2 linked regions of the Macaca fascicularis genome follow. The protein of the gene in region 2 purifies or fractionates together with the protein of the main gene of each other region. This does not show direct contact. Links are inferred from orthologs where the notes say so. Each region holds a gene or a part of one and is shown on either strand. Other genes may lie near its edges.

Region 1 (5,841 bases), on a different chromosome or scaffold from region 2:
GGCAAGCTGCCACTGTGGGCAAAGCGGCTGGTAAGTCTTCAGGGAGAGGGTTGCTCAGGGGCTGGCAGAGGAAACGCCTCCCCGGCTCTGCCTTCTGGAAGCCCTTTTTCCTTTCCATGTCCCTCTTTTCTCTGGAGAAGCCCTGTCATCCTTCCAGGCTCAGTGAGACAGCTCTTTGTTCATGATCAGTGCCCTGTGCCAGGCATTGTTCTGGATGTCAGGGACACAACAGTGAACAAGGGAAACAAAAGCCTCTCCCTTCATAGGCTCACTTGCCTGTGTGGGTGAGGAACAGTGTCCCCATTAAATAAGTAAGTGACGTAGTATGTTGGGTGCTGATAAGTGCTATGGAGGGAAAAGAATCAAGAAGGAGGCCGGGCGCGGTGGCTCAAGCCTGTAATCCCAGCACTTTGGGAGGCCGAGACGGGTGGATCACGAGGTCAGGAGATCGAGACCATCCTGGCTAACCTGGTGAAACCCCGTCTCTACTAAAACATACAAAAAACTAGCCAGGCAAGGTGGCGGGCGCCTGTAGTCCCAGCTACTCGGGAGGCTGAGGCAGGAGAATGGCGTAAACCCGGGAGGCAGAGCTTGCAGTGAGCTGAGATCCGGCCACTGCACTCCAGCCTGGGCAACAGAGCCAGACTCCGTCTCAAAAGAAAAAAAAAAAAGAATCAAGAAGGAAAATACGTCAGCCAGGTGCACTGATGCGTCTCTGTGGTCCCAGCTACTCAGGAAACTGAGGTGGGAGGATCATTTGAGCCCAGGAGGTTGAAGCTGTAGGGAACCGAGATGGCACCACTGGACTCCAGCCTAGGCAACAGAGTGAGATCCTGTCTCAAAAAAGAGAATAAGAACAGGGGCCCAGCACGGTGGTTCACACCTGTGATCCCAGCACTTTGGGAGGCCAAGGCAGGTAGATCGCTTGAGCCCAGGAGTTCAAGACCAGACTGAGCAACATAGTGAGACCCCATCTCTACAAAAAATTTAAAAATTAGCCAAGCGTGGTGGTGCATACCTGTAGTCCCGGCTACTCAGGAGGCTGAAGTGGGAAGATTGCTTGGGCCAGGGAAGTCGAGGCTGCAGGGAACTGAGATGGCACCACAGCACTCCAGCCTGGGCAACAGAGCCAAGACCTTGTCTCATAAAAAAAATAAAAATAGAGAAAATAAGGAGTGTTGGGGGGTGGCAGTTTTAAGTAAACAGGAAAGGCCTCATTGGGAAAATGATATTTGATCAGAGTTGAAACAAGTGAGGCAGGGAGATACTGGGACGAATGTTCTAGTCATAACAGCCTATACATGTAAAGGCCACGAAGCCAGGAGCTCAAGACCAGTTTAGGCAACATAATGAGACCCCCATCTCTACAAAAAATTAAAAATAGCCAGGCATGGCTGGGCACGGTGGCTCACACCTGTAATCCTAGCACTTTGGGAGGCTGAGGCGGGCGGATCATGAGGTCAGGAGGTCAAGACTATCCTGGCTAATACGGTGAAACCCTGTCTCTACTAAAAATACAAAAAATTAGCCAGGCATGGCAGTGGGTGCCTGTAGTCCCAGCTACTCGGGAGGCTGAGGCAGGAGAATGGCATGAACCCAGGAGGCGGAGCTTGCAGTGAGCCAAGATCACGCCACTGCACTCCAGCCTGGGCAACAGAGCAAGACTCCGTCTCAAAAAAAAAAAATAGCCAGGCATGGTGGTGCACATCCATAGTCCCAGCTACTCAGGGGCCTGAGGCAGGAGGATTGCTTCAGCCCAGGAGTTGGAGGCTGCAGCGATTGTGCTACTGCACTCCAGCTTGGACAGCAGAGCAAGACCTTGTCTCTTAAAAAAAAAAAAAGAGGCCGGTGCTGTCGCTCATGCCTGTAATCCCGGCACTTTGGGAGGCCGAGGCGGGTGTAATCCGAGGTCAAGAGATTGAGACCATCCTGGCCGACATGGTAAAACCCGGTCTCTACTAAAAATACAAAAATTAGCTGGTCATGGTGGTGCATGCCTGTAGTCCCAACTTCTCAGGAGGCTGAGGCAGGAGAATCACTTGAACCCAGGAGGCGGAGGTTGCAGTGAACCGACGTCGCGCCACTGCACTCCAACCTGGCGACAGAGTGAGACTCTGTATCAAAAAAAAAAAAGAAAAGAAAGAAAAAGAAAAGAGAAAGACAATGTGGATTATAAGAGACAGAGTAAGAGAGGTGAATGAAGGATGATCCCAAGGTTGGGGCCTGAACAACTGGAAAAAACAACTGAAACAGGGGAAGCTTTAGGAGGAGCAGGTTTGTGTGGAGGAAATGAGGAGCTGAGTTGTCAGCATGTTAACTTTGAAATACCTACCAGACATCCATACAGAGATGTAGAGCAATTGCATGTGCAATTCTGAAGTTTCAGAGAAAATTTCATGAATCCCAGCTGGGCATTCCCAGCACTTTGGGAGGCCGAAGCAGGATTGCTTGAGCCCAGGGGTTTGAGACCAGCCTGGGCAACATAGTGAGAGTCCACCTCTACCAAAAACCAACAAAATGGGCTGGGCACAGTGGCTCATGCCTGTAATCCCAGCACTTTGGGCCAAGGAGGGCGGATCACTTAAGGTCAGCAGTTTGAGACCAGCCTGGCCAAAATGGCAAAACCCCATCTCTACTAAAAATAGAAAAATTAGCCAGGCGTGGTGGTGGGCACCTGTAATCCCAGCTGCTCTGGAGGCTGAGACAGGAGAATTGCTTGAAACTGGGAGGCGGAGGTTGCAGTGAGCCAAGGTCACACCACTGCACTCCAGCCTAGGAGACGGAGCAAGACTTCATCTCAAAAACAACAAAAAAAAAAAAAAAAAGAGAAAGGTTCATGCTGGAGATACGTACCTGGAAGTTGTTTCTGAATGGTATTGAAAGCCAGGAGCCCGGATTGGCTGTGTGAAATGTCTGTGGCGCTCCCTGCAGTGAGTGAGCACTCAGCCGGGTGCCTGACTGTCCCATATCCTTCAAGCTAGGGGACGATGATGTGCCAGATGGCTCGGCCTTCCATGCCAAGCGCAGCTACCAGCCCCACGGCCGTTGGGCAGAGCGGGCTGGCCAAGAGCCCCTCAAGACCATCCTGGATGCCCAGGACCTGGATTGCTACTTTACCCCCATGAAGCCCGAGAGTCTGGAGAACTCCATTCTGGATTCACTGGAGCCACAAAGCCTGGCCAGCCTGCTGAGTGAGGTACGCACTTCCACCCCAGCCTGGTCTGTAGCCCTGGCACTGTGACGGCCCCAGGGCCTGGCACCTCAGGCTGACTCCCACTCCATGGGGGCAGGGAGGATTACGTGAGGTGGTGAAGGGTAGGAGGGTGAGCCCCAGGACTGTTGCACAGCAAGACTTCCCAGGGCAGACAGGGAGTCGTTGGAAAGTGAGTCACTTGGGGGTTAAGAGCTTGGATGCTAGAGCAGGCTTGTACCCAAGTGGGGGACATTTGGGTAGATGGAGCCCTGACCCTACCCATTCCTGTTGTGTGACCTTGAGTAAGAGGCTTACCTCTCTGGGCTTCAGTCATCTAAAAAGTAGTCATAATCGGGCCGGGGCAGTGACTAACACCTCTAATCCCAGCATTTGGGGAGGCCAAGGCAGGAGGATTACTTAACGATCACTTGAGTTCAAGGCCAGCCTGGGCAACATAGCAAAATCCCACCTCTACAAAAATATTTTTTAAATTTTTTTGTTTTGTTTTCTTTTCTTTTTTAAAAAAAAACTTTTAAATGGTAATAACAATCTCTTCTGCCCCAGAGGGCTTTTACAGGAATCCATGCTTAAGCATAGGGCCTGGGCTCTTAGAGGTGCCTGTGCAACTTTAGCTCTTACTCTACTATTTTCCAAACAAAATTCCTTTTTATCCTATCCTATAATTTGTCATCTTTATTGGGGTATAATATACATCCAGTAACATGCACAGATTTTAGGTATACAGGTTGATGAACTATCTGTGTAATTCATATGTGTCCACTACCCTGGGTAAAATCTGGAGTGTGTTCTACCTCCTAGAAGGTTTCTGCCCCTCCCAATCAGGTCCCTGCACCAGGATAACCAGTATTCTGACCTCTAACCAAGGACTGGGTTTCCTATTATTGAACTTCATATAAATAGACACGTAGAGGGTTGGACCTCCTATTTTTGGTGCCACACCTCTTCCTCATCTATAAAGGGACTGATAACGCAGGGGCAGCCCAGGACAAGCTGGTTGTGAGCAGAGTGCATGGCACAGGCCCTGGGTCACAGCCTCCAGCAGCCAGCCATGGTTCCTGGCGTAACAGTGGCCCCAGCCATGGCTGCTTCAGAGTGGCTGTGCTGTCTTCCCCATAGTCAGAGAGTCCCCAGGAAGCTGGCCGCGGGCACCCCTCCTTCCTCCCTCAACAGAGGGAATCATCTGAGGCCAGTGAGCTCATCCTCTACTCTCTGGAGGCAGAAGTGACAGTCACAGGGACAGACAGGTGGGTGTCCTTTCTACCAAGGGAGCTTTAGTTGGAGGAAGCCCCAGCTGATAGCTGCACCCTGGAAGAACTGTTCTTTGCCTTCCCAGTGGGCTTGTGGGAGTGGGGACAGTTGTGGCCTGGATGGGGCAGGAGCCCAGCCTTAGTTCCTTGGTTTCAGGTGGGGTACAGGAGGGCCTGACCTGGGGGAAGGAGGGGACATTTGGAGGAGGCGGGGAGGCTGAGGCAGTGCTCCTGCAGGAGCAGCGGGTACGGGTGCCTAGGGGCTCCAGGTGGGGCTGGCTATTGAGTCTCCAGCTGAAGTCCTTGTTCCCTCTCTGCCCCCACTGGCACTGCAGCCAGTATTGTGGGAAGGAGGCGGAGGCCAGGCCTGGAGACCAGCAGGGCGACTCCTACCTCAGGGTGTCCTCCAACAGCCCAAAGGACCAGAGCCCACCTGAGGGTGAGTGCAAGAAAGGCAGGGACCCTGTGACAGTCTGTGCGTTCAGCCAGGCCCCTTTCTGGGCACCGATGGTGACTTTGACCCAGTACTGAAGCTCAGAGTCTGTCGAGGAAGACACATGTGGTCCCTGCTGCTGCCTGAGGATTCTGGGCCCAGCTGCCTACAGTTGAGAGCCCAGCTCTGCCACCTCCTTGATGTGGAACTTCCCTCATTCATAAAATGGTGGGTGGGTGCTTTTATCATCCCTCCTCCAGATGGGGAAACTGAGCCCAGGGAAGCATAGCCCTGGCCCTGGCTCACCTGAATGGTCAGGCTGTGGGCTCCTGACCCCAGCTCTCTCCTTCAGACTCGGGGGAATCAGAGGCCGACTTGGAGTGCAGCTTCGCGGCCGTCCACTCCCCAGCTCCGCCTCCTGATCCCGCCCCTCGGTTTGCCACGTTGCTACCCCATTTTCCAGGTAAGCAGGGGCCAGACACACAGGGGACTCGCTGCTCGGGCCTGGCTTAAGGCCAGTCACAGTGTTTAAGCACAGGCCCTGCACTTGGAGCCCACTGAGCCTGGAAGATGGGGATCCCTGCTTCTCAGCCTGCAGGCAACAGGGCAGGGATGGGTGGGGCCTGCTTTCTCCATTTCAGGTGGCGTCTGCTCTGACTCATGGTGTTGGCTCCTCTTGTCCCTCCCCTCCTTCCCTGTCAGGATGCGCAGGTCCCACAGAAGATGAGCTGTCCCTGCCCGAGGGACCCAGCGTCCCCAGCAGCTCCCTACCCCAGACTCCGGAGCAGGAGAAGTTCCTCCGCCACCACTTCGAGACACTGACTGAGTCCCCCTGCAGAGGTAGGACCCTGCCTCACCCGCACCTGCCAAGGCCATCTGTGCAGCCTGGGCACAGCATTGGTGTCCCTGGAGTCGGCTCCCCAGCAGGGCCGCGAGGGTGAGTGGAG
Region 2 (5,771 bases):
CTCTTCAGGCCCTGAGACCTCCATTCCAGTTTTCAGCAAATATGGGGAATAAAGGTCCAAGTTAAGTGGCAACACAATCAGAAAAGTCCTCTTTAAAGTGGGAGACTGGTCTGGCTTAAGACCACAGAGACAATCCAATACAAAGCATGGGCCTTGGTTGAGTTCTGATTTTACAAACCAGCTATAAGATGTCATAGACAATAGGAGAAATTTGAACATGGACTAAATATTAGATACTGACAATGCTGTTAATTTTCTTAGGAGTGATCATGGTTCTAAGTATATAGGAGAATATCCTTATTTAGGAAATGCATGCTATTATAGTGCTTCAGGTTGAAGCATCATGATGTTTGCAACGTATTTTCAAGTGTTCACCAAAAAAGTAGATGCAGCCGATCTGACTAAATGGGAAAAAGTGCTGAACGCAGGCACTGGATAGACAGGTAGGCCATCAACTACCAATTCCACATTTCTATCGGTTTAGGTTTTTGTAATGAAGGTTGGAAAAAAGCTGGGGACAGCAGACACCAAGCCAGAACAGTACGTGTGGTTTCGTATTGCTTTGTCACCAGCTGCTCTTCACCATAGATGCTTACGCTGTCACAGCCCTGGTGCTGTGTTCAGCCAGGCCTGGCACCCACTGAGCACACAGTCACTACTGAATTGTGATGTAGGATTAAGAAGCTACCACTCTGGTCATCTAACCCCTCCATCACCACCAACAGACTGAATCGCGGGTTCTCAAACTGAGGCAATAACCAGGAAATGATGATGATTAACATCTGGGATTCAGAGTGAAGTGACTATCGGTTATGTAAGCAATCTTTTCAAAAAGCAAGAAGCCATCTTTTCTATCACAATTCAACCGGTTAAAATAGTTTAACTCTGCAATTCCATGAAGCCTATAATTCTTTATTCTGGTTTGTCTTAGCAGATAACAGCTCCCACTAATGACAACCAGTTTTTTTAAAAAAAAGACTGCAATAGCAGATTCAATGCATTGCTGGGAACAGTTAGAAGTGCTCTGTAACAAAAGCAAAGGATTTCTCCCTCACATATAATCTGTTTTAGGCTATACTTTTTTTTTTTTAACTAGCTTGATTTTTAAGTCATCTGGCTATAATTTGAGTCCTCCAAAGTTGACAAACCTTGATCGGTAGATGTATGCTTTAAAATGCCCCACTTCACGTGAAGTTTCAAAGCTTATTTAAACTCAAATTTAAAACAGTAAAGATACTGTAGTTCATGTGGAAAGCTCTTTAAGATTTGAATTGTTTTGAGATTGACATCTCTGCTTCAGCTGTGAGAGGGGACAAGGAAGGACTATCCCTACTATTGACAGAGGCAGACCAAAGAGAATCTCTCACCACTGCCCTCAAAGCTCCACCAAACTAATTTGGTGTTTCAAGTTCCCTGATATGACCTGCAGTCTGAGTGCTAGACCTTTGTCGGTGCTGTCCTCTGGAACATCTCCCCATCTCCTCATCCAGGAAGCAGCAGAGGTGAAGAGTTCCTCCCCCTCAACACATGGGCACTTCACCTCTGTCATATACTTGTCCTATCTGTTGACTCATTCATCCCCTCATTAGCCTCTAAGGACATTAAGCATCTTTAACCCTAGGCCTAGAACACTGTTAATAGCCCCAAATCACCACAGAATAAAATTTTCTTGCAAACCCTAGTTTATTATTAAGCCTAAATTACTCCAAGGTACTTCTGGGTTAGCTACATACCCCTCTTATAGCACAAAATCTACACTAAAATATTTTATATTTGGCTCATGATTAGCTCCCAGGGCTCTGGTAAACCAAACAACTTCCACCTCTAAAGTTACATACCTGGAAGATGGAGCATGTACTGACCACCCAAAATCTGCAATTTTAAGCTCTCCAGCTGATCCAAGAAGTAAGTTCTCTGGCTTAATGTCTCTATGAATAACTCTCTTCGAATGACAGTAAGACAAGGCATTTGCCAATTCTGTTATATACTGTTAAAAAAATATTGAAAGCCTGTGTTTTAGATTTTGTATAACACAAGTTAATATTAGACATCTCTTCTGAAAGGAACACAACATAGATTTAACATGGTTTGCAGGTTTTGGCCAGACACAGTGGCTCCCACCTGTAATCCCAGCACTTTGGGGGACTGAGGTGGGAGGATCACTCAAGCCCAGGAATTCAAAGCCAGCCTGGGAAACATAGCAAGACTCCATCTCTGCAAAAAAAATTTAAAAATTAGCCAAGCATGATGGTGTATGCCTGTAGTCCCAGCTACTTGGGAAGCTGAGGCGGGAGGATCGCTTGAGCCCAGGAGGTCAAAGCTGCAGTAAGCCATGATCACACTTCAGCCTGGGTGACAGAGTGAGACCCTGTCTCAAAAAGGAAAAGACAAAACAAAAAACACATATTGCAGGTTTTGAAGCAAGCATCGTAGAAATTATACATGAGTCTACACACACACAAACACACACACACACACACACACACACACACACACAGAATCAACTGAACCAATTTATAGTGGTTAGCATGAAGTGAAATTACCCAATGTTTAGTTATCGCTTTGCTAATACAGTTGGTGTGATGTTGAAAGACGGAAAAGACATTCAGCTAGTTAGAGCTAGCTCTTAGGTTGGTGCCATTTCAATGCAAAACACAGTTACTTCTGCACCAGCCTAACAGTTACACCCCCATACGGCAACAAACGGCCCTGCGGCAAGGAAGTAAGGCAGTGCCGAAGACCTGGTACAAATTAAGGATTCAGGTGTGTAAATACTGCCTTTTTCTTTTTTAGAAAAATAAAATTAACTTTTCAAGTATAGTCAATTCCTTTTTTTAAAACCAAGATCATTCTGTGACAGAATAATTTGTTTAAAGCTAAAAATTTACTTCAAGAATATCAGGAGAAAGAAATTATCCTGAACAATAAACAGAAACTAAAAAGCAGTTGCACTGACATATTAAATAGCATGTTAAATTTTGGGTTACACTAAGTCAGCATAGAAGTACATAAGAAATCAGTCCTTTTGTTAATTTTATTTCCTTAAGTTACTATCTTTTTTTTTTTTAATAGAGATGGGGGTCTCGCTATGTTGACCAGGCTAGTCTCAAACTCCTGACCTCAAGTGATCCTCCCATCTCAGCCTCACAAAGTGCTAGGATTACAGACATGAGCCACCGCACCCTGCCAAGTTACTATCTTGTAAGAAAAGTTTGCCTGGCTGGGCACCTGTAATCCCAGCACTCTGGGAAGCCAAGGCAGGGGGATCACCTGAAGTCAGGAGTTCGAGACCAGCCTGACCAACATGGTGAAACCCTTTCTCTACCAAAAATACAAAAATTAGCCGAGCGTGGTGGTGCATGCCTATAATCCCAGCTACTCAGGAGGCTGAGGCAGGAGAATTGGTTGAACCCGGGAGGTAGAGGTTGCAGTGAGCCGAGATCACGTCATTGCACTCCAGCCTGGGCAACAAGAATGAAATTCCATCTCAAAAAAAAAGCAAGAAAAAAGAAAAGTTTTCCAGTCCCTATCTCTAAGATTTAGCCAACAAATCTAGTATGTATGTATGTATGTATGTTATTTACTTATTTATTTTTAAGAGACAGGGTCTCACTCTGTCACCCACCCTGGATTGCTACGGCATGATCAGACCTCACTGCAGCCTTGAACTCCTGGGCTTAAGCAATCCTCCTACCGAGTAGTTGGGACTACAGGTGTGTGCCACCATGCCCAGCTAATTTTTAATGTTTCTTTCTTTTTTTTTTTTTTTTTTTTTTGTAGAGACAGAGTCTCCCCATGTTGCCCAGGCTGGTCGCTAATTCCTGACTTCAGGTAATCCTCCCATCTTGGCCTCTCCAAGTGCTGAGATTACCAGTGTGAGCTACCATGCCTGGCCCAGAATTTATTTTATCATACAGGTAACTGTTTGAATATTGAAAAAATATATTTAGCTCTGCCTAAAGTTTGAGTTTCCTTTCTAAAGCAATTGCTAGACAGGATTGAACATTATTTTACATCAAAAAGGTTTACTAAACAGATAAGTAAACACCAAGTGTCACTGGCAGAAAAAACACTTTTCATTCTTTCAGTCCAAAGCCAGAGATCAAAATTCAGACCACGATAAACTGAAGTCAAATACAAGAAAGCTGCTCTTCTGACTACACCGACTTTGAGTTGCTGATGCTTTAATTGCACACATTAAAGTTCAAGAGGCAATGGACTTCACTCCTCCAGTCATTTCCAGACAAGAAGCTATTAGTTTCGCCATGGCTCTCTGGCACTGCTACTCCCTCCACACCTCACATGTTGTTAGACTGCAGGTATGGATAGGTCACTGACGTGTCACTACAATTAGTTTTATTTGAATTCATCTGAAAAGGAAAACAGGTACATGCGTATTCATTCTAACTGCAAAGGAATCTAGACAGAAATAATCTTTCATTTTCTTTCAAATAGCTATCTGCTCACACCAAAACTCCATCTAGATTGAAGCCTTGGGTGTGAGGAGAGAAAACAGAGAAGTAGTATCATGTGTAATTTTATACTGTTGAGATAAGGTGAATCTTTTAAAGTAGGATATCAATATCAGAAACTGAAGAAAAAGATTAACTGACCCAAAACAACAAACTCCAACCCACCGTAAGCAAGATGACAAGGAAAAAACCCAAGGGTAAAATGTGATCACCTGAGGCAGTCACTACCATGAATGAGCACAGATTTCCTTATTGAGCTGTAAGAGAAAGCTGGCCCAAAAGCTGAACTCATAAAGAAATATTAATTGCCAATTAAATAAGAAGTTGATTTGTTTAGCTAATATTTAAAAAGTAAATTAGAGATCTGTTTCTACTTAGGAGAAGCACAAACATTTAAGATTAAGTCTTTAAGTGTAAAACAGCATGTCATTGTTGCAGAGACAAGACCAAAGGGCCATATGTCCATAGTAGTGTGATTTCATCAGATACTGAAAGTAAAATTACTTGATTTTAAATGCCATGTACATCAATGCCAAAAACAAAGAAAACTAATGTCCACGCTACCCAGAGATCTCCACCAAGAAACGGAAAAAAAATCAAAGTAACCACCATCCAACATGCTTTATCAAGCTGTCAATCCAATAAGAAACGGCCCAAATTAAGACTCAACTTCTTAAAACAAGTAATTTTAATCACTTAAAAAAGGAGAGGCACAAAAAGCACAATCATGAAAGAAAAAACTGACACATTTGGACTTTTATTAAAAATACAGCCTGGGAGGCCGGGTACAGTGGCTCACGCCTGCAATCCCAGCACTCTGGGAGGCTGAGGTGGGCAAATCACCTGAGGTCAGGAGTTCGAGACTAAACTGGCCAACACGGTGAAACCCCGTCTCTACTAAAAACACAAAAATTAGCTGGGCGTGGTGGCGCACGCCTGTAATCCCAGCTACTTGGGAGGCTGAGGCAGAACTGCTTGAACCTAGGAGGTAGAGGCTGCAGTGAGCTAAGAATCAAGATCACGCCACCGCCCTCCAGTCTGGGTGACAGAGAAAGACTGTCTCAAAAAAAAAAAAAAAAAAAACCCAACAACCTGGGCAAGATGGTGAGACTATGTCTATACAAAAAATACAAAAATTAGCTCAGCGTGGTGGCACCCACATGTAGTCTCAACTACTAGGGAGGATCACTTGAGCTCAAAAGGTAGAGGCTGCAGTGAGAGAGATTGCACCACTGCACCCCAGCCTGGGTGACACAGTAAGACCCTTTCTCAAAAAAGTCAAATAAAAACAGCTTTGTG

What was found. Proteins that work in one complex are often made in the same cells at the same time.
Region 1: the proteins of AURKA (region 2) and WDR62 purify together in Homo sapiens (affinity purification with mass spectrometry; 3 studies listed by BioGRID and IntAct, counting the BioPlex papers as one, with this or other methods). This does not show direct contact. The link is inferred for Macaca fascicularis from reciprocal best matches to the Homo sapiens genes AURKA and WDR62.

What each region holds. Positions count from the first base shown.
Region 1 is NC_088393.1:43,339,471-43,345,311, forward strand, and holds part of WDR62 (WD repeat-containing protein 62), read left to right. Parts: coding exon 1-30; intron 31-2,977; coding exon 2,978-3,196; intron 3,197-4,330; coding exon 4,331-4,458; intron 4,459-4,796; coding exon 4,797-4,900; exon of another isoform or gene 4,901-5,122; intron 5,123-5,246; coding exon 5,247-5,357; intron 5,358-5,596; coding exon 5,597-5,734; exon of another isoform or gene 5,735-5,831; intron 5,832-5,841. UniProt on the Homo sapiens protein: Required for cerebral cortical development. Plays a role in neuronal proliferation and migration.
Region 2 is NC_088384.1:112,406,919-112,412,689, forward strand, and holds part of AURKA (aurora kinase A), read right to left. Parts: intron 1,988-5,771; coding exon 1,839-1,987; intron 1-1,838. UniProt on the Homo sapiens protein: Mitotic serine/threonine kinase that contributes to the regulation of cell cycle progression.